Linked DNA regions of Lepisosteus oculatus. The protein of the gene in region 1 purifies or fractionates together with the protein of each later gene. This does not show direct contact. Links are inferred from orthologs where the notes say so. Each region holds a gene or a part of one and is shown in the gene's direction. Other genes may lie near its edges. The genes, in order: suv39h1b, histone-lysine N-methyltransferase EHMT1-like and mecom.

Region 1 (7,670 bases):
GCAAGGCCCTTCACCCCAGCTGCTCCAGGAGCACCCTGCGCTCTGACCCCCAGGTTTTGGTTGGGTCCCCACCTACATGCAGAGAGCTGTGGAAATGTTTGGGATGGAAATCACTGCATGCATGTGAGGAATCATTATTATCGTATTCTACTTCAATGTGACCCCCCTGAATCAGCTTCTTATTTCACAGATCAATCATCGGTTGAGCATGCTCTGCACTAGTGGCACGAGAGGGAGAGCACCACCATGGTGCATATAATCTACTATTTAAGTTAACCAAATCTTCACAATCAGTGCCAAAACACCTACCTATCAACCTTCTTTTTGGAGGGGAGTGTCCTGCATCATAACCTGTAACTGGGGAACAAATTCAGAATTATTAGTAAGATATGCAGCAGTTTGACACCTTAAAATTCTCAAAGCAGTATTTACATGACTGAAGGATTAATCACAGAGGAAATAAATACGGGAGAGGAAAATAAGTCCTGCTGAGCATCATATTAATACGGAAACAACAGTGGGTTATACAAACACATTATAAGTCTGGAACTATATTAACATCTGTTTTCCCTCTGACTCGTGTATTCAAAAAGGCGTGAAGCCCGGAACAGCTACACCCCGCCGGTATTAAAACAGCAGCTTGATCTGGGGCTGTCTCTGCCTGCGGGAGGGAGCTGAGACCCCTTGTTCACAGCGAGAGCAGGGATCAGAGACAGGGGTGCTGACCTCGTGCTCTCAGTGTGCACTCACATGTGAAACCAGCAGAAAAGCTGCTTATGTTTCACCACTGTCAGGTTCCCGTTGATACCGACTCTTCTGAGTTAGTGATAGAAAGTCATTCAGCACTGAGCCTGATTGGCAAACCACAGCTCCAAAGAAACCCCTCTCTCTCATTCTCTCACAAGACTAGAGGAGGAAAGACACGCGGTTTTGAAGCTACTTTTTTGTTATTCATCAGTAGCTGTTAGTGACTCAATTTCCAGGAAATAGTGAGAGGAGGCAGCATTGGTGGTGTCTGATTTTGGAATTATTTTTCCATTTGTCCTAAAAAGGATTCGTTTCAAGTCTTTTAATTTAAAAAATATCCCCTTATTCCTTTTTCAGATAAACCTAAAATGACAATGTTGGCTCCTGATAATAATGAAAAAAACAGCAATGCTAATACTGGGTTCCTACTTGTGCAGGACATGTTGTGCTTTGAACAGCTGTTGCTCGGTTTAATCAATCTCTCAGTCAAAGTCCTTGTAGGACAGAGCCAGTGAGAAGGTTTCTCTCTGGCTGAGGAGCTGAAACAAGCCGGGCCAGCTGACCGCAGCAGGTTCGCAGGCCCCTCCTGTGAAGACCACCCTGACAGGGCTCACCCTTCTCCCATTCTGTCCGCAGGCTGTGTGCTGTGGAGGCGCAGTTGATGGACTTCAGGACATCCAGCGCCACCTCCACGGCCTGGGAGCTGAAACGCTCGGCCATGAGGTGAGCTGTGTCAGTGCGGTCAGCATTTTCCAGCTCCAACCAGGAGATCCTGTGCTCATCCTGCTTGCTGTAACGCAGCTCATGTCTGAAGCGCTTGAAGTCTTCTGTAGTGAGATCGGCGAGGTGGTGAGACAGGAGCTTAAACACAACCAGCCCTCTATCCAGCGTGAGAGAGTCCAGGCCTTCTGTTTAAAACATCAGACTCCTCTGCATCTGTCAAGCAAACACAGAGGGTCAAAATCCCGCCGCTGAAAAGTAATTAAAATAAAAGCAATTAAATTACTTCTTCTACAAGAATATGACAAATGTACTGCTACAAACTTTTCCACGGTGCTGCAGAAATACTGACAGAACATTGATTGTCTGTCACTTCACCCAATAAATGAAAATGATTTGTATTCCTGATATAAATGTTTCAAAAAAATAATGAAAAAAAAATAGAATACAAAATATAATTGCAGGAATATTTATACAGAAGAGATTGGCATTTCTGCTAGGATTTCTGTAGCAAAATGCAGTATGTAGCAAAAGAAAAATAATGTGTCAACACCTACATTTTATCTTGATGTTTCCTGTGAGGCGAATGTGTTGAAAGTAAATGACAATGTGAAACTTTTTCATGCATGTTAGATTTTCAATAATTCGTCCACTTTCTAATCTCTTCTTCCAATTCAGGGTTGAGGGGGAGCCAGAGTCTCTCCCAGCAATCCTATCCCACCAACGGCCACTGGGCTGGGTACATCCTGGACAGGATGCCAGTCCGTAGCAGAGCACTCACACCAGGGCCAGGTTTCCCAGAAGCCAATTAACCCACCCGTATGTCTCTGGGCTGTGGGAGGAAACCGGAGCACCTGGAGGAAACCCACAAGAACATGGGCTGGGGGAGAACATACAAACTCCACACCAACAGCAATGCAAGCCCAGAATTAAAATCAGGGCCACAGCACTGCAAGGCTGCAATGCTCACCACTGCACCACTGTGCTGCCCTAAAATCATCTATTGATCAAAATGATTACTCTCCTTTGGGGATATGACCACATTTTTACCCATTAACCATCACAGACACAAGAATTGTAGACAGACAAAACCGGCAATTGATTCCATTTTCTGAAAATGTAGAACCAAGCCTGTAGAAGAAAATGATTTAAAAAAAATCTGATACCCTGAGGCAAAAGAGGTCGCTGTGTTTCTTGGTAAAGCTTGTAAGTAGATCGGTCTCACCTCAGCTGTGCGCAGTGCTCCTGGTTGTTGTCTGTCTTCCTCGCGCCTGCGATGCTGTTTCTGACTGTTTCACACATCAGACACATCCAGCCTCAGCCTGGCCCCTGGCCCCTGGCCCCTGGCCGTGCCACCAGTCAGCCAGGCACACGCCATACCCCTCTGTCAGCAAGGGAACGAGGCTGCGAAAGGCTTCTACAGAGGTTAGAAAAACAAGCTACTTGGAATCCACCTGCAAAAGCAACTAAAAGAGGACAAAACAAGACTTCGCTTACCTTCTGCTGGGCTGAGCCAGCGATGGTGCGAATCGAAACTGTTTTGCTTTGGAGGTTCAGCACCAGTGCTTATCTCTGCCTAGTGCAGGAAGTGGTTGGCACGTGTAGCAGACTTTATGAAAGATTTCAAGAGGTCTCACTGAAGGCGACGATGCTCTTCTTGTGATCCACTTCCTGGGCCTCCGCCCGACTGATCCGCTGTCTGGAGGTGTCCGGACTCGTGTGACCCCGAGCAGGACTGCAGCTGCAGCAGTGGCCATCCTTCACATCCTTCCTATGGCATCCCACCTGGTAAAGCTGCAAAATGATGCATAAATACACTAAACCGAGGGGGTTTCTCGAAATGGGTAGGGCTGTTACCCCAGTGTCCTGGACAAATTCCCTCCTAGCCTTTCCCAATCATGGCCTCCTAATAAGCCCCATCTCCGAACTGGCTTCATCACTCTGCTCTCCTCCCCACTGAGAGCTGGGGTGAGGTGAGAGCACTGGTGCACTATGGCTGCCGTCACTATTAAAAACACTATTAAATTTCTCCTGGACTCGGAGAAATCGAGGTGGGGAGAGAGCACGAGGGAGCCGTGTTGTTCTGGACTGCCAGGACCGGAGACGATGCCTGAGAATCACCGAAGGAACTACACAGAGGACAGAACAGCTGGACTGCAGTGTCTGGGGACTTTTGTTGGGTGACTGAGGTGTAAATTGTGTGCTTGCCTCTGGTCTGCCTCCTCCCACCCCCATCACGCTATGGTTTTGTACAATGTGCTGTGAGAGTTGTTGTGATCACTAGGAAATGAAGTGCCTGTTGCTGGTCTGTGTGTATTCGCTGGGGATTCTGGGAGACGAGCAGGACTTGTGGCAGGAGAAGGGTCTTAGCACCCTTTAGAATTGTTAGGTGGCATAGTCGTCTACAAAGCAAAAGTAAATCCTATAGGAGTCACCCAATCCGTGACACGACTTTGAAACAACCCACATAAAACTGAAACAATCTCTTTGATTCCTATTAGGTATGTGTTTGGTAAACTGAGCGGGGTGACCAACGCTACGTGTATCTCACACACGTTTAAGGAAACCGAAACCTTTACTGCTTTCAGTGCTTTGCGGCCAACGCCAACACGAAACTCACACAGGAAATCGGCTCCGGACACACAGAGGTGTCACTGACGGTGCAGGACAGAAGTTTTATTAACGGTGAAAAGTGATGAGATATGTGAGCACACAGAATATGTGTCGAGCTGGAGGTATTGGTTTTCGCTCACATTAATCTTCCAATGATAAATGGCAAATGTAAGAGAATACCTAGTTAAGTAAAAAGCCATTATTTACGCTATGCGGTCTAACTGACAGACACCGTAGGGCATCCCAAATGGTTAAAAATAGAAACATTAGCGAGCCTTGTATGACAATTGATAAACACGACTCGGCGCAGCTCAGTAACATTCTTTCCATAAAACCGGAAGCGCGCTGCTGATTTGAAACCAACCACCAGACCCACAACTCAGCGCGATCCCCGTCCCTGGGCATGCGTGCCCCTGGCCAATCACGGCGCTCGCTCGCCGCCCTGTCCCCTCCCCCCGCCTGACGGCGATTGCTCGATGTGGACGCCACTCACGCCCGCGCCGGCCAATCGCTGGGGGCGGTGTGCTTAAATCCCTGACCGTTAACCCCGGCGCAGCGGCGATCTCCCGCCTCTGCGGGCCTGGCCAATAGGAGGGCGGCTCGCGAGGGCGCTCGGCGGCGTGACTGGTGAGCGAGCGCTGCCTGCGGTCTCAGTCAAAAGACGCGGCTCAGTCAAAAGACTCGCTTTCCAATCGCTCCGGTCCGCTATCGCTTTTGCCCCTCTCTGGACGTGCCTAGGGGGGGGAGTGGTGGCGCTCATTGGCTGCGCCGGGTGTCATTTGTGGAGCGCTGTAGCCAGTCGGAGAGCCGTCCGCCGTGTGCGCCCCCTGCCCCTGCCTAAGCAGGCAGATTTTTGGCGGCGGGGAAGAAGATGGCGGAAAATTTGAAAGGTAAGAAAGTTTTCGCGTCGCCCCCTGCGCGAAAAAGGCGGCGGATGCTCGCCGCCGCTCGGCGGGGGCTCTCCGGGCCGGGCCGTGTACCCGGCGGGTCCTGTCGGGAGGGGCGGCCGGGCGGCGCTGCGCTCGCTCTGGGGGGGGGCAGGGGGGATCCGTTTAAACCCCCGGCCGGAGGGGCGCGAGCCGGGGGACCCCGGGGCCCTTCCGGGAACCCCCCCACCCCCGGCAGCCTGCCGTGCGGGGTGCCCCCCCTCCCCGGGTCCCCCATCGCGGTGGGGGGAGCAGTCGGTTGCCCGGGCAGGAGCTCTGCAGATGGCCGTCTGCGGTCCGGAGACGGTCCCGGTGGCTCCGACGCGCGTCCTCGCCTCTCTCCCCGGGCTGTGGGACCACACGGGGGTGCGCGGCGCTCGGCCGGTCCGTGGCGCCTCCGACCGCAGCAGAGGGCTGTGTCGTGCGGCAGCTCTCGGGGCTCGGTGTCGCCCGTGAAGCCGCGGGCGCCGGTGGGGTCTGTTAGGAAACGTCTCCCCGCTCCTGGCGACAAGAGCCCCAGCTGACTGGCTGCAGCACAGGGGGCACACGTATCCCTCACCGTGCCCGGACCCCACCGCTGTCCGCCGCATAACAGAGCGGGATAAGGCAGCTGAGACCTTCGGTTGCTCTTGAGTCTAACAGCAGTTTCTGACATTCCTGAATAAAATATTCAGCGGGGTAAAGCACACCGCCACATTGCGTGGTAGAGTGTTCAGGTTCTCTCTCACTTTTTAAAATGGAAAAATAAGCTTGGTTGTCCGTGATCATCAGTGTTGCTAAGCATGAGATACTGGTGTGTGCGATTCGGCCCCGGTGCTTCCTTGGCGTCGGGTGCGGTGAGGCCAGTCGGTGACCGTGATGTGGGTGACGCAGGGGCGCAGGTCAGTGCTACTTATGCCTGGATTTGGCTTCTCTGTTGATGCTCAGGGCCGCCGTGTCTGCGCTGGCAATGAGAAAATAAGCGCAGTGGTTGATCGAAGGTGCTCGAGTCGTGCAGGCAGGAGAAATTATCTTCCCAGAGTTGTTGTGTGGCAGGGAAAGGCTCAGACTCGGCTCTCCTGATTTGAAGCCCTTGTTTTATCCCCCAGAATAAAAGCTCAGTGCTGTCTTGGTTGCTAGGGAAGGTTGCCTCGGCTGCAGACACAGTCCGAGTTTCAGGGGGCTTTAAGGAAGCTCTGACTAATCTTTCCGAGTATTTCTCACAACCTAAACTATAACTCTAGCGAGCAGATCACCCCTGTGTCTACAGTACCACACGGTGAGGAGTCTAAATTGTGTTTCTGATGAAGGTGAGTTTGCACCTACAGAGCATCACCGTCTGGAGTCCGGCAGCTGATTAGTCCCCGAGTGTTCCTTCCGCAGGTTTGTGGAAAATCGCTCTGCACTCGTTCAGACGTCCTGCCAGCTGTGAAGGGCACAGCGCAGAGGGCGGTGGTCTTGGGGCGCCCGGGGGAGGGCGTGACGAGCTGGAGGGGCGCGTGTGGTGCCCGGGGGCTGACCCGCTGTCCTTGCTCGTGCGCAGGGTGCCGCGTGGCGTGCAAGTCCTCGTGGAGCCAGCTGCAGACCCTGTGCCGGCTAGAGAGGGTGGCCTGCAAGGAGCTGGGCATCACCAAGAAGAACCTCAATGACTTCGAGGTGGAGTACCTGTGCGACTACAGGAAAACGAAGGTGAGTGCCCGCGCAGGGGGGTGGTGAGGCCTGGCTGGCGGTGGTCTGTCTCTGCCCTGGGCGCTGGCGGGTCGGGGTCATGACCCTCTCCAGCCCTTGCTGCGCTGGCACGGACGTGTGCACGGTCTCTCCCTCCTGCCTCCTGACACTGCCGTCCCAGCGGCCGGAGTTGGCTCTCGGCTGTCCGCTGCTCAGCCCTCAGAACCGCTCTGGGCTCGAGGCCCGGACGGGAGCAGCTGCACGCCTTTCTCTGAGGGTGGGGCCGTCGAGCAGACTGTCATTTATGTCTTAACAGCTGTCATTTGTTTTGGCTTTTTTTGTGCATTTTGTTTCCAAAGAATATTTGGTGTACTGTTCCCGCTCCACTCCAGATTTAACTGGGCAGCGGATTCCGGGCCCATGTGTCCCGGCAGCTGACAGGGAGCCAAACCCAGCCTCTGGAAGCAGAGCGGGAGCAGGGAATTGGGTGGGAGTGGGGGGGCTGTTTGCGCAGGCGCTGGTGATGGTGTCCAGTGGGGACAGCCTGTTAGATCCTTTAAACAGGAACAGCACTGTGGTCTCATTGGTGCCGTTTTATTTTTATTTTAGTCACCCAGGAACAGGACAGACATGCTCTCCCCGCAGTTTAATTTCTTGACGATGAGCTCGTTTATAAATTGTGAGCGGATGCACTGATCTGTGATTGCGACCGATTGGGGGGGGGAAACAAACCCCAATAAAATAAGGCGAACACTGTGAGGACCAGTTAATACTGCCTTCGTTTTTATGCCACGTCTACATGTTGGTAACAATGACACATCAAGTTTAATCCTTTGGCCTGTTTTCCACCACGTGTATGTTAAGATCCTGATGGACAACTTTGAAATGAGCAAAAAAAAAAAATTTTGACATGCCACCATCTGCCTGCTCTGAAGCACATTGAGAAATGCATTCAGAACTCGCTCAGAGCTCCAAGTATGTGCCCTTAGTGACAGTGGCCGATGTTATGTGCAGTGT
Region 2 (7,489 bases), on another chromosome or scaffold:
CACATTTTTTTGGAATTCATCTCAGTGTTGAAAGTTAAGCTGTTGATTTTAACAAGTGTGCTTCAGAGTTTTAAGTGCTCAAGTTTTCAATAACATTTTATTTAAGGGGTCACTTGAAAGCCACAAATTGGTTGTGACACACAAGTGTTGTATAGCAGCTAGTTAGCTACCAGTTCACTTTTGTAACTAATTAATGTGTCCTACTGTAAGTGTTTTTCTAATAGTGTCCATATTAGGCATGGACCCCTCATAAACCAGCAGCCCCAAGCTGTAGGAACGTAACGGTGAGCCCTCAAAGTGACGTTAGTTTTTCCTTCTTCTTCATAGCGCAGATTTCACTTGCCCTTAAAAGATGATGACTGAAACAGGGGGAACTTTCTGAGTGTCTGTCTAAGGTGCATCCTGGAAGATCTGGGCACAAGGTGGGACTTCACTCTGGGCTTTTGCTGTTGATTAAATATTCCTGCCTGTAAGGAAGGTACCAGTGAATAATTCAGTTTTTACTGAATTACAGTACCAGTAGTTACCCTCCCGAAAACACAGATTGGTTCACGAAACTGGCTCTGTGAATGAATGTGCCTCACAGGAAAATGGGACGCAACTCCTTTGGTGCCTTTGGAAACCTAAGATGAGAGGTTTTGGTTATCTGGGAGCAAGGTCATGCCGGCCTCGGGGCATCGTCTGCCTCTTTTGTGCTGGGATTGTGGAGTTCTGGAACGGGACGATCCCAAGTTTCGGCTGGAGGGCAGGTCCGGTTTCTCGCTGGCCTGGCTTCGTGGCCCCTTGGAAAGATGAGCAGGAGGGGAGTGAGACAGAATGAGAGAAGGACTTGTACGCTGGGCATCGTAATGTCACCTGCCATGCTCGCTGAGAGGGGAACAAGTGGTCACTCTCCTAGTGGTCAGTGCGAGGACTGTTAGACGACCCCTAGTAAAACAAAAAAGATTGATTGTTCTGCTGGGTTGTGTAGCCGAGAAGGAAGGAAGAGCTTGGAATCCGTCCGTTTCCTGGGATCTCTTACCAGTGTGTCAAGGCTGCTGACAAGCTGGTTCAGGCGTTTCAGGAAAAATCCTGTGAGGCAGTAGTCATCCTGAGGAGCTCCTTTAGAGCTCTGCAGGGAAAGAATACAGATCATAGGAATGCTAGTGTAAGGCAACAGGAAGAGCTTTTAGGCCAGATGACACGTCTGTGGCCCTGGGTCAGATTTTACCAGCTGCTGGAGACTCCCAGTATTGGCCAGCTACTGGTGCAGTTTGATTTCATCCTTCCAAGTAGCTGATCTTTCGGCAGTCCCTGAATTCTATGAAGCCAGGAGCCCTGTGCTGGGCTGTTTTTGAGTTCGTGGAAGTTCCTTATGCAGGGCCTGCTGTTTTTTTCCCCACCAAAATACTGCATTCCTCAGCACAGGCAGTTATTCCTGCTTCAGCTGTAATAAATACCCCAGCCTGTCTTAGCTGGAGGAAGGGCTGAGGAACAGAGTGAGCCGGTGGGGATTATTGAAACCTTGTGTTCATAATGGCATTTATCTTCATTAGCCTTTGGAACGAGATTAATAGTCTTCTTCCATCTTCCTGCTCCCGAACGTTTCCCTTCTTTCTTCTTTGTGTTGCAAGAGCACGAGAGCGCTGACTCGCCAGGGGAGCCCAGCGGGCCTGTCGAGTCTTCACTCCTGTGCGTCGGGGCCAAAGTCTCTTCGGTGTGGTTGCCAGACAGTTCCGAATATTCCTTGTGGGAATGAGTCGTGGGCGCTGCGCGATCGCGCACAGGTTATGACTGTGTTTGTGACGACAAAATCTGGGAAAAACCCAAACGAAACCCCTGCAAGGACGGCAGTTGCTGAGAAGCAGCTGGCGAGGACTGGTCAGAAGGGGCTGGTGTGGCAAGTCCCTTTCTGTACAAACCGAATGGCAGCGTCCTCTTTCCCATCTGAAAGGGCCAGAAATAGACGTTTCAGGTCTGTTTTCACCCCGTGCGGAGTCTGTGTGGGACAGCACATAAAAATAGCACGGGAGTCAATGGAGATCCCCCCCCACCAGGACAGGAATAGAGACCCGTGTCAGACTGACCATGGGGCAGGAAATGCCTTTGACCAGCTGTGTTAGAGCTTTGGGCCGATTTCATTGGGTCTCGGCAGCTCAGTGGGGCCGGGCCCGGTCAGCACCGGGGGGGGGGAGACCTGGAACCCGACTCGGTGCCGTTGGTGGGCCAGTGTGTGTTGGTTCTCTCCTGTCCGGCGATGGAGGGCGCCGAGCTGTGGGCGGTCCTGCCCTGCCGAGGACACGAGATGAAATCGAGTTTCCTGACTAATTGGTCGTTAAGGACTCCAGTGCGCCGTTGCTCAGGGTAAAGGGGGCGTTGACACCTGGCATCCTGGTTAAATTCCTCCCTGTGCCTGAGCAATCTGGCTTCACTGAAGAAGATCCCTCCTCCCCCCACTACCACCACCACCACCTCTCGCCCCCAGTTCAACCAGTGAACCATTGCCTCCCTCCTCACCTCTGAGCTGCAGAATGACTACTCACTTCAGTGGAGAATTTCAATGATTCCCTCCTGTACGTGAAGAGCTTTCAGATCCCTGGGGATGATGAGTGCTATATATAGGGGATATATGATCACACATCTGTCTCCCTGCGTAGCAGGCTAGAGCAACCAGGAGCTGCTGCCTTAGAGTAAGCAGTTTGCACCCCTCCTCCTCCTCTCTGTTGCTCTCTATATCATACCGTACATGTGTATGTATATTTGTAGTGTTGTGTGACAATTACTGGTTGCTGGTGTAGGGATCCCTGTGTGTTGTTTCCACAGGTTCTGTTAAGAAGCCAGTCTGTACGATATTTGCTCAGTTAGCCTCTGGGGTCTGATGATGTATCTGGATGCTGCCGTAAATGACTGGCATGTGGGCTGGCTGCGTGTGAGGGTCTTTTCTTTGATTTTGTGTGTGGAAAGGTGCCGTCTGTGTTTACCAGACCAGATCGTCTGGAGGTGCTGGGAGGCTGATCTTCTGAAGGATAGTCCAGAGGTGTCAGTCCTGGAGTCATCCAGTTACATAGCAGTTTGATGAAAACACGGTGACCTCCAGTACAGTTGGGCTTCTTGGGAAGGCTGAGGTGAAGGGTTGGTTGTGGTTCATCCTAGTCTTTTCTTTCCTTCCTATTTCACCAGTCCAGACAGGTTTGAAATCCATCTCTCGATACATCGTGCTTCCCTACACCACTAGTGAAACGCATGCTTTGTGTTCCACTCCCTCAGTTGTGCAGCAGATAATATTTTTGAGTTAAGGATCGGAAGAGATCCTCCGGCAAAATAAATTAACAAGCAGACTGGAGTCTGCACCTCTTCCTTGTGCCGTCGGTTTTGAAATGCTGGGACACAGCTGAAAGGGGACTCTTTTTGAGACTCATAAAAATCTGGGAAGTGGCTGTTCCATTAAGGATAACTTAGATGGGCTAACCGAGCAGAAAAATGTTCCTGGCAGATTTCCAGTGTGTTCTGGCCATGGCTGTAGTCTTTGGGGTGTTTTACTACACTGCTCTAGTGATTTAGCTACACTGTAAGGCTACTTACTCTCGAGCCTCTGCCTGGCAAAATATCACCTATATAAATCTTCAAGCGCAGGAAAACAGTCTGACATTTTGAAACCGCTGCAGAGCAGTGTCTTCGAGGCCTCGAGCTGCTGTTTCTGCCACGGCTGGATTGAGCAGGAGGGCGGCGGGGGGGATTGCTCAAAAGATCACCCCCACCCCGGGCGTGCCCAGCGCTTTGACTCCTGACCGGCCCTGACCTTCACGAGCTCTCGAGCCGCGTGGATTCCGAAATCGAGTGTTCTTTATTCTCTTTCTCTCCCCCCCCCCCCCCATTAAAAGCCTTGCCATTCCTCCCTGCAGGAGGAGAAAGAGAAAACCCTCTCGTTTCTGCCCTGCATGGCACTCATGCTTCTCGCCTTAATGGCAAAAACGAGCGCCTGGAACCTATAAAGGGCGGGGGGCTGGGAGCGCAGACCGGTCAGGCTGTGGTCGTGCCGACACGCAAAGCAGAGCACGTGTCCTGTAGGAGCAGTCCTCTGGTCAGGCCGGCTGCTGTTGTCAGGAATGCACAGGAAAAGGATTGCATTTAAAGCACAAGGATCCCTTCCTCAAGCACGCTTGACCGGCGTCGCTTAGTAGTGCTTGTGTGCGCGCTGGCGCTGCCGGACAGCTCGGTTTTTGAGGCCCTGTCCTGCTGCTCTTGCAAGAGTCCGTGCCATGAAATGGCTGCTCTGTTTTTCCCCCTTCTCTACCGAGCAACAGCAGGGCTCCCACTGAGCATGCCCAGTGCTGTGTCAGAGATTCTACAGGCGAGGTGGGTCATGTGACCTGAGCGGGGCCTGTGCATGTGTAGGAAGCTGGGAGGAAGAGTGGAGATCCACACCGTCTCTCTCTCTCGGTTTCCCCCCCTCTCCATCCATGGAGATCCACAGCCTGCAGCAGGTACTGCCATGTTGCTGGATGGGTTTGTCTTAAAGAGCAGAGGAAGGATTTTTTGGAAGGACTCGTGTGTTTTTAATATATTTTTTTTTTCTGGCTTGCTTTCTGTGCGGTGATTGGCTCTACAGGTCTTGTTTTGATTTTTTAATTTTTCCCAGAGCCTGCTCTTGACTTCCTTTGTGATTTTGGTTCTTGAATCTACAGTGTTTTAAGATTAAACCTCCTGTTTTTCCCCCCCACCCCAGCCCCCACCATGTGAAGAGAGAGAATCCAGATGTAACTCGTTTTTTGTTAAGTGCTTGAGAAGCTGGACCTGCTGGTTGGAATGGTGAGACAGCAGGCCCGTCTGAGCAAGGAGGGTCCCCGGCTCAGGCCAGTGTCTGTGTCAGCAGGAGTCTAGTCAATGCCAAGGGACTGGGAAGACCTGAACTTGCTTTTCCAGCCTGAGTCTGAGTATTTCCTGGCGTTAAGAGGAGACAACTGCCTACATTTCTGTTAGTCTTCTTTCGATCTTGGATTTGCCTTTTGTTTCAGTAAGGACTTTTTAAATTCTCTTATTGCCTTCCACTAAAGTCTTCATTTGCTTCATCTAACGAAAGACGCCTGGCTCGATGTTCCTTTCAGCGCTTGCGGAATGATTTTAACCGCAGGCTGGGTCACGCTCTGTTTCAAAGCCTGTATGGTATATTTCTCAGCTCTACAGAAGAGAAATGGCGATGGTGGTTAGATCACGGCGTTTGCAGTCAGGAAAGGGTGTGGAATTTTTTTTTAATGTGAGCCAGGCTTAATGCTCCTGGCTGAATGCACAGGTAGAGCTGTGTAGCTGGAAAACGCTCAGGCCTGTGTGGTCTTCAGTGACGGCGCTGGAGGAGACATGTCAGAATTCACTTGAGTGCTCGGGCTCTCCTGCAGATTCCTGAGCACCAGACTGTGAGCTCGAAAAGGACCACAGTCATTATTCTTGCACCGCGGAGACTGACTGGGTTCCACACAGCCTGGTTGTTTGCATCTTTCGATTACAGAAACACCCTGTGGCTGGCTGGCTGGCTGGCTGGCTGTAGTGGGAAGTTCTCTGAGTGCTGCAGTATTTCATCTGGCTGTGTTAAACTCTTGAGGTGTCAGTATTTCGAAAAAAAAATTGATCTGTTAAGCGGCTATTGTCATCCTTAGGAGCTGTAAGCTTTGTTTTAAGATGCATTGCAAATTTAAGGAAATGAATACTACATGTGGAATTCCTTCAATCTGGTTTGAGAATACCAGTTTGGGTTCCCAGGAGTTTCTTGTGTGTTTTGCTGGTTTTTAGGCTGGATGAATGTTGGGTTTGCACATCTGCATTTTCTTCGCAGCTGGGCCTTGAGATCTGCCTTCACGGCTGCAACTGTTAGATCTTGGAGATTAGCTCCTGAAACGTCCTTTCTTCCTCTTTCTGTGCTTTGGCATCAAAGGTCTTGTTTCCAAGCAGGATCTCTGTTGGAGGGGCGAGCTGAATTACGAACAGCTGTATTTTCCTGAGGGCGTGGAAACAACTCTGAGGAAAGTCTTTTTTGAGATCTGCGCGGGGTGGAAATTCAGCTTGGTTCCTACCCAGATGGAAAATGGATTTTTAAAATAATTTTTTCCCTGTTAAACGCTCGTTTATTAAGACTCGGAGAGGGGAGGTTTCTGGATGTGTGTGCTGGGATGAGTATTGGTTGAGAGGTGAAGCACAGCAGTGTGTTGCTTGGGCGTTTGGCTGAGACGTTTGCCTGCCGACGGCTCGCAGCTCTTTAATGTATTCCTGTGCCTGTCAATTACTGGCGCTACGAAATGGCTGAAAGACAGCCTGCACTGAGCATGCTCCGGATCCTGGGAGCACTGTAGCGCACTCCACCTTTCAAGAGCTTGAGATTCTTGCGCGTTCTTGAGTGAACCGGTGCTTCTCGTGTGTGAACGAGCTGTAGACGCTTGTACTGGGGGCTGTGCCTCATCTCTAGCAAACAAACGAGCGTGAGATTGGACGTGTGACTGAAGTCTTTTGTGTTGCCGTTTTCCTCTAGCCTAACCTTCGCAAACTCGACCTCCCGTGTGCAGGGTTCCTGCCCTGCAGAGGGGGAAGTGAGCTGAGGGTCTTGCTGTAACACCAGACTGAAGGTCAACCAGTCAGTCAGTCATCCATCCAGAACGCAGGTCGGCACTTAATTACTCCCCCATGCTGTAAAGGTTCTGATTTCTGTGGCAGCTTTCACCTCTCCTCTCTGCAAAGAAGCAGCTAACTGCCGATCAGAGAGGGTCTGTCCGTCCTCCTCGGCACTCCACACGTGTTCCGACACCCTCGCTGGCCCTTGGGCTGTGACCTTTCTGACCTCGGAAAGCTGAGCCGGCGTGGCGGATCTCGCGGTCTCCGTGGGCAGCCAAGACGGGACGTGCCGCGGAAACGCAGCTGGGGGTGGGAATAACGTCTGCGATCGGCGCCTCGTCTCTGCCTGCGTGCTCCCGAACTTTCTCTCGGCTCATCAGCTGCAACAGCAGGGGAGCCTGGGCCATGAGGGTGTTGCGTACCTGGCTCTCTTTGTGGGGGGGCTTTCTTAGGCTGCTTTATCCTGGAGGCTTCAGGAAATAAGAGCTCGGAAGACTGGCGGTTCTGCTGAAGGAGGAGGCCAGGTCCCTCAGCCTTCCTTCATGACTCCTGACAGTTGCCGACTCAATATTGGGGCTTTAATGGTTTCTCTTTTCCAGTTAGAGCTGTAGACGGAAAGCAAACAAATATAGTTTTTTTTATAAGCCAGCTGTTAAGATTTCTCTCTCTGAAAAGTTTGTTTTGGGACACTGATCCTTTTGCGGTGATAAAGGATCGGCATGATACTGCCAACGGTTACTTTGATGTGGATTTGCCGTTCTGTAGATGCTTGTATGCCGAGACAGAATTATAATGCCCAGGAGTTATACCCAGGCGTGGACTGAGGAATCGGTGAGATTCACGTTCACGATTCGCATGCGGCAGGTGCTTCCGATTGGGGTGTGATGGTGTCGCCCCGGAAGGACAACGGCCT
Region 3 (7,428 bases), on another chromosome or scaffold:
AATACTAATCAGACTTTTTGAAGGCTGGTTGTCTAGTTACCTTCTGGTTTTCAATGTCTTTGGTATATGGTTCTTCTGACGTTCTCGTGATTAATGATTATTCATAAATACCAATATCAGGATCAAGTTCGCATTCAGGGACAGTCAAGCAACGCATCTTCTGGTCTGTATGAATTGATTTGACCACGTGTTTAAGGTCCTGCCATATTGACCTAGGTGGGCTCAAAACTCCAGCTGATGTATAGCTGTTCTGTCTTACAATTCCCCTGACGCCTCGCAGAATTGATATAATATATGATACAGAACTGACCAGCACCCGTGTCCTTTATTTCTTAGTGTTTACGACTGCCCCTTTCGCTCATTTTAATAATGACTAATATTGACGCTTCAAAAGTTTTCATTAGTAGTGATTTTCTTTTCAAGGATATTGATCATGCCTGTGTAATCGTCGCAAAGGACGTAAAATTGGTTAGCATTCTTCTGGCAGTGCTCATACAATAATAAGCCATTTATTTTCTCAGATTGTTTTTTAAATTTGGATTTACCGTGACCAAATAATCTAAGAGTGTAGATGATAAAAAATATATTCACAGGTGAGAAACGAGTAGAAATCACAGCCATGTAAGAGTTACGTCTAATTGTGTTAATTACACTCTTAACTATATTTACAGATGAATTCTAGTGTAGCCATCTGCGCGTTGAGCTTTTGGAGTATTTATGCAGTTGAGTTTTTCTGATAGTGTGTGGGTTCATTCGTAACTCGAGGGAATTAAAACATTAACAATGTTGTGTTTTTTTAATTAATAAATTTTCATTTCATTTTTGCAGTTCGTTTTTTAGGGACCTGGCAGTTCAGTGCTACATTCAATATGAAGGAAAGAGGCGCCGAACACGGGGAACGCTAATGAACAAAAAATAAACTCAAATTGTGAACAGGCTCCAGATTCTGTTGCATAAGCACCTGTGTTACAGCAAAGTCTGTTGTATTTTCAATGTTCGCGATTAACGTATATGCCAAAAGGACATACAAATCTAAAACGGTGGTGGTGGAGGGGAGTCCCCATTACCTGTAAAGCGCTTTGAGTGGAGTGTCCAGAAAAAGCGCTATATAAGTGTAAGCAATTATTATTATTATTATTATTAAAACGAATATACGTAATATAAACACTTTAGAAAAATCCAGTGAAGTTTTTGAGCTTCAGTTCCACATCTTTCCACTCTGGGGCACTGTATACCAGCGCTTCCTCCGTTCACACTGCTTCTGCCCTTGTGACTCGCTTTCTCTATCTTGGATGTTGTCCTGTTTGACATATTTTACTAGCAACCATTTACAATAATTTATTTAGTTTTCTGTTGTTGTTATTATTAAGTAGTTTTATTACACATTTTAACATTTTTTTTTTCATTTGTGGCAAAGCCTAATAATTATTTGAAATCGCTCCAGGAGTTTTCGTTTAGGGCTCCCAACCCCAGCACAGCAAATAAATTTCATCCAGTGAAAACGCATTACATAAATAATGTGAATTTCATGTAGCTTAACAGAAGTAAAACGTTTTATTAAAATAAATTTCATCTGGTCGAACGAAAAAGGCTAATTCTCACAGCTTCTCCACGGGTGAACGCACTTAATTGCATTTATATATAATGTTTAAAGTGTCTATGATAAATTAACAGATACATCTCTCTGTTATACTTTTAAATAAATTACACTTGTAAAATCCTTATCTGCTTTATATATATACATGCTGCATATCTCTCGTTTTGCGTGATTTTTATAGCAGAAATTTTTGAAAAAGACATTTTGACAACATCATCATTATTAAAAGAAGTATGTGCGCGCGATGCTTTATGTATATATTTTTTTCTTCTCGGGCTCATCTTTTAATTTGTTTCTTCCCTGACTGTTGTAAAGTAGCTCGATGAAGCATTGATAAATATCCCCGTTGATCACTTGATTGATTACCTCTCGCAAAGGTCACACAGGCTCGCGGTAATTTCCTTTCGCCCGAGGCTCCCTTTTCACTTTTAGTCCGGCGCGACAGCTCCAACTATACAAATTGTGTTTTTATTTTAACCCCTAAACAACCTGCCGAATATAACAGAACGCACGCAAAATAACTCTACTGTCGGAGGAGAGAATGTCAGTCTTATCAGGCGCGAAGCAGCGCGGTAAAGCAAACGTTATCGTTCTAAAACAAAGTCTCTTGGGTACGAGTTTTCTTATTTTCCCTTTTGGATAGGATTAAAAAATTGAACTATATAGGACAAGCTATTAATTTAGCTATACTAGTCAGGGTCTTGAACCCAATTAATTTCTAATAATTACAGCCTACAGGGTTATACAGATCTGTCTGGTGCTTTCCAGTCATGCCATCTCAAACCACTGAGGTCAGCATATCATAATAAAGTATGTATTTTGAAAGTGGTCTCAAGAACAGTGAGTTATTGCAATGACTGAAAATTGTTTCCATTTAGGCTAGTTGAGCTGATTGCCTCAAGCTACAGCTGTAAGTCTAAATGAGGAGAAGTGTTTAATATAACGTCCGCCTTCTTTACTAAGAGAGTGTAATTTTTAACAGCACGGTTTAAGTAATTCATTTAGGGTAAACCGTGTTCTAACTGCATTACAATGATTAAATTAATCTTACTGTTATGGGCGCTGGAACTAAAAAGCATGATGTAAAGTTCACTGCACAAAGACAATACAAAAACAGAAACCCGATAAGGGTTTTTGATAAGTTCTGATGCCCATGCACTTGTTAAAGGACAATTTGTGGAAGCGCACATTTCCTGCTATTAATAATACCCTTCAATATTTTTTCTTCCTTTAAAATTTGTATTAGGCTACATAAGCACAAACGGTTTTTGCGGCTGGTAATTTTATTAACTTGGAACATAAGAAAAGCCGTGCCAGAGGTCGAGGCCAACGACAATAACAGAAATAATTACAGTTGTGAAATTAAAAGAAATTGCAAAACCGTGGACGAAAGAAAAACGGTTTTAGAAAACGTTCCCTTTGTCTTAAACATGTCAAGAAAATCCTTTAAAATACCTGATTTTATACTAACCAAGCATATTTTTATGAACCGTTCAGCTTCACGGGCGGAGGCAATATTGTTGTTTATTTCGTAAGATAACTTGGTTCAATGCGTGCAATACTAGTGTAATGTGGGGGATAATATTCTTAACTTTACGCTTTTGAAATGATGCATACATAGCTACGACAATGGTATAATTAAAACAGGCTGTATAGACTCGACACGTTAGCTAAAATGTACTGGAAAATCGAATATAACATTTGCATAAACTATCCTGAATGTGATAAGGTGTCGATATCAAGAGATCGGGTTTTAAAACCAAATTAATTGCTATAGATAGCATGCCATTTTGTATGTATCGATATGTATCACATTGCAATAGATTACACAGGGGAATTATTAAATGTTGGCGCGGAACTCCGACTGTAATAACCTTGAGACAAAGATTCGACTCTACAAATTGTAATCGTGTATCTCTTTAATGGCTGGACAATTATGAAATTCAATAACTGTCTTATAAAAAACTATTTTATAGTTATTTATTTCACAACAATGATGTGGAACAACGCTTGGCAAGGTATATGCTTTAAACAGTAAAATGATGTCCCTATGCAGTCTGCGAGCAAGAGGTACTTTCTTATACGGGCACTGAAGTAAGATAATTTGTTAGATAAGAAAATGCTAAATTTTAATAGGGTCCTGCAACGTTAACAAATCAAGGCTTTCACCGATCTGCACTGACCTGCAGTATCCCGTCTAAGACCATATCCATAGCTTACGCGATGAATCAAGAATTGCAACCATGAAAAGTTTTTAAAATATGATTTAACGTTAAACTAAAGACGTTAACGCTGGATAAACATTTCCTTCTTGAATTGGGAAGAGTTATTCACCCAAGTCAAAGCATTTAGGCACAGGCACGGTAAGACCCGCATTAACCTAAAGTGCTTAACTGAATGATAATTGTCACATTGATACGTACATGGCAGAGATTTTCAGATGACCCCCGAAAAATAGGGTTGGGGGTTAACGTTTTCATTCATTTTCGAATCTTCCTAATGCGATAAAGAATACGATTAAATCTGTTTAATGAAAACATTTTACAGTTTTAATTTCGCTTAATTTTGATTAATGTGGTTTAATTTAAGCATAAAGGTATGTACCGTAGCTGTTTGAGGGTAGTTTATTATAATTAATGTCTCTGATTCTCTGCAGAGGACGGTTTTCTCTCTGAGTCACTGAACTTTGAAGATCTGAAACGAAAGGCGATCTCTCCTCGATCGCCATCTGACAAGATCAGTAATATCAAGTGATAAATCGCTCCAAACTTTTTTGGCGGCGCCGGCAGTTTGGCTGTGCGCATGTGCGAAGGTGTCCGAACTGACAATGCTGGAGAGATAGCGAGTCTGGATTGAGAAACACAGAGAAAGGGACAGAGAAAAAAGAAAAAGGAGGAAAAGATCCAAGAAAAAATCAAACAAACCCACGCCGAAAGACTGGCATCATGAGGTCCAAAGGCAGGGCAAGGAAACTGGCCACAAGTAGGTGCAATATCCCTTTGTATGCGTTTTGCAAACTGCCATCTTGTACATGTGTATCTCTTATGTGATATCAATGCTTTCACATCTAAATATAGAAACAACCTGTATTCTTTACGTTAATGTCAGCAGGCACTGACCTGTCCTCTCAACGTACACAAGTTGTCGCCTTGCACAAGGAAAGGAGAGAAAGCATTTTGAAATGACTTTGCAACCGCTGGCTTTTGTGAATAGCGGTCCTCTGAGCACCACGAGCTTATATTAGCAAAATGAGTTGGGGAAAAAAGTTGAATAAATGCGAGAGGAACTTTACAGAGACCGAGCTGCGAGCACTTTTGCGTTGCATGTAGTGGGCGCTGTCGCTTAACTTGAGGTCCGGTTCCCTGGAACTCGCTGTTAAAAGCGCTAAGGTCCTGGTCACTTCAATTCGCAGCAGCACCTTTGAAAAGGCAGGTGGGCTTAAGCTAATAGCAGAAAACTAAGTTTCCGAAAAAGGAATCTGTGCATTTAAATGTTTACAGGTACTACATTGACGTAGCTGGCGGAGAACAAATATGTAGTATAGTTAAATCTTGTTCAGAGCAGGACAATGTGAAATCTCGGACTCGTTCGTAAGGCATGCGTATTCTAGAGACTATAAAAATACGGTGTTTGTAAACGAGTGGGGTTTGAACTGAAATAACATTAGATGATTATTTAAATAGGTTACGTTTCGTGGAATTTATGCGCAACAAGTGTGTTAGAGAAATTAACGCGATTGCGCTAAATGTAGCGTGCAAAGGATATTGCAATAGCTGCGCTGTGCTGTGAGCGAAAACCTTGGAAATATGTTTTTCTGTCGTGCAAAGGCTGTAGCAGCTTTAATCGCAGTATTTTCCTAGTGTTTTAATATTATGATATGGCTGTGAATTGTAAATCAAATCATTCGGACGTTTTCACCATGGAATCGTTATTATATATATGTTTTTTGTAAAAATATTGTATTCTGTCTATACTCTGAAGTGCAGCATTTCTTAACTATATTTAGCAGTTCTCTCTCACATTGTGGCAAAGTGTTTTTAAGGAATTCTCGAGTACTTTGTCGCTTTACGTTCAAACAAACTTGGTTTCCCGCGATCTAGATAAACAGAAAGTATTAATCGAAATTGTTCTCCTAATCAATAAATAACATTTCTGATGAAGGATGCGAGTTTTAATGCCCTACATATAGCTCTAAAAATCTCGATGACTTTATTAACTTTTCTTTTTAATTTTGAACAGTGTTAATTCTAATTTAAATCCATGTTCCCCCAAAACGGAGTGTTTTTCTTATATGCTTCAATTATCGAAAACCTGCGAAAAAAGTAGAGGTTTAATGTGCACCTCATGCTGCGGCTGTGAATGTCGTTTCCAGGACAGTTTTCTGTTTGTATGCTTTTATAATTCTTGGTAGCGCCGCTGAATTTAAGAAAGTTCAAAGACAGTACTGAACGGTTTATTGAATAACTTGAATTTTTTTTCCCAAATGAGGTTAAGATCAGATGTTGCAATAAAGGAAATCATTCCAAAACGTATAATTTTCGTGTTCTGAAATATCATTTCCTTTTTCCTTAAAAATACTACAGGTCAGACATATCGCAAACAGAACATGGGCCTGTCTTTGTGCGCTCTTTCCGTTTAATGAACTTGAAGCTGATGTGGTCATCCTAATATATTATTATTGTTGTTTTACTTTGTATGTTACGATATTAATGATCCTCCCGATTTAATCTAAAGATAATTGTTTTTTGGCGTGATGAAGAAAATAAATGTCAAATGATCGATACATAAATTGTATAATACAAATGTTGTCAACATTAAATAGAAGTTAAATCATTTTATATCTTGTGTTAAATTGGAAGTTTTTACAAATACTGAAAGTGACGAGCGTCGGATTGTTTAAACGACATACCTGAATAAGTATTTTTTACAACGTGTATATTTTAATTTTATTTAGTTTCCGGGGGGATTGTTTCCAGTACTTATTAAATTGCATAATTTAATTCCCAGGCAATATTATATTTTATATTTTGACAAAAAGAGGTAGAGTAAGCTCCTGAACAAGTGAAAATATACTTTTTCTGGGGGCTTCAACACAATTTAGAGTACTTAATTGTGAGATCTCAATTTGCAGAGATGCCTCCAGACCGCCCTATAACCTGAAGATAGCGCAGATCACAATAATTAAAAGGTAAATCGTAAGCAATTGACAGTTTAACACCCACTTAATCAATTAATGATGATCAACATATCCAGAATCCCAGGAGACTAAAACGCAACTATGTCTTTTTTTAAGTGGTGTAATACGACTGCTAATGATTTTTTTTTTCCTGCTACGTTGAAACTTTGCGGAGGAGAAAAGTTTTCCAAGTAGCACTGACGGTCATTCGACGTTAGAAGTATTGGCAAGTCCTTTATTTTCAAGTGGAGAATGTTGAATTCCTGTTGAAAGAATGAGAGTCACTTCTAAGAGGACAAGGGTATTCCGCGAAGATTCCTTAAGATGACTATTACATGAATATAAAATAATAATAAAACTGCATTCTAATTTAGATTTAATTCGCCATACGGCCATACTGTGAGCAATGTTTATGATAACATAAAAGTTCAAGCCTAATGAGACTGGCCGTGGGAAATCTGAATGAGAACACATCGATTTTAAAACAAAGTTGTTTTTTTCGCGTTTGGTGGTGGCGAGGGGAATAGGTGTAAGGACTCGATGTTCGAGGGGAGGTTGAAACAGACAAATACATTTGATTTCTTTTTATGGGACTGCGCAGAAGCTCTTGGTGAAGTGCCACTTCGTTGCAAAGCAGTGCTTAGACGTTTATTTT

Evidence for each region.
Region 2: the proteins of suv39h1b (region 1) and histone-lysine N-methyltransferase EHMT1-like purify together in Homo sapiens (co-immunoprecipitation; 3 studies listed by BioGRID and IntAct, with this or other methods). This does not show direct contact. The link is inferred for Lepisosteus oculatus from reciprocal best matches to the Homo sapiens genes SUV39H1 and EHMT1.
Region 3: the proteins of suv39h1b (region 1) and mecom purify together in Homo sapiens (affinity purification with western blotting; 3 studies listed by BioGRID). This does not show direct contact. The link is inferred for Lepisosteus oculatus from reciprocal best matches to the Homo sapiens genes SUV39H1 and MECOM.

The regions. Positions count from the first base shown.
Region 1 is NC_090697.1:77,485,907-77,493,576, reverse strand, and holds the start of suv39h1b (histone-lysine N-methyltransferase SUV39H1), read left to right. Parts: upstream 1-4,637; 5' UTR 4,638-4,951; coding exon 4,952-4,970; intron 4,971-6,528; coding exon 6,529-6,674; intron 6,675-7,670. Other genes in the region: NACHT, LRR and PYD domains-containing protein 3-like, read right to left, coding at 310-357, 1,362-1,467. UniProt on the Homo sapiens protein: Histone methyltransferase that specifically trimethylates 'Lys-9' of histone H3 using monomethylated H3 'Lys-9' as substrate. Also weakly methylates histone H1 (in vitro).
Region 2 is NC_090719.1:1,862,407-1,869,895, reverse strand, and holds the start of histone-lysine N-methyltransferase EHMT1-like, read left to right. Parts: upstream 1-4,424; 5' UTR 4,425-4,439; coding exon 4,440-4,463; intron 4,464-4,531; exon of another isoform or gene 4,532-4,993; intron 4,994-7,489. UniProt on the Homo sapiens protein: Histone methyltransferase that specifically mono- and dimethylates 'Lys-9' of histone H3 (H3K9me1 and H3K9me2, respectively) in euchromatin.
Region 3 is NC_090708.1:20,672,586-20,680,013, forward strand, and holds the start of mecom (histone-lysine N-methyltransferase MECOM), read left to right. Parts: upstream 1-4,326; 5' UTR 4,327-4,542; coding exon 4,543-4,579; intron 4,580-7,428.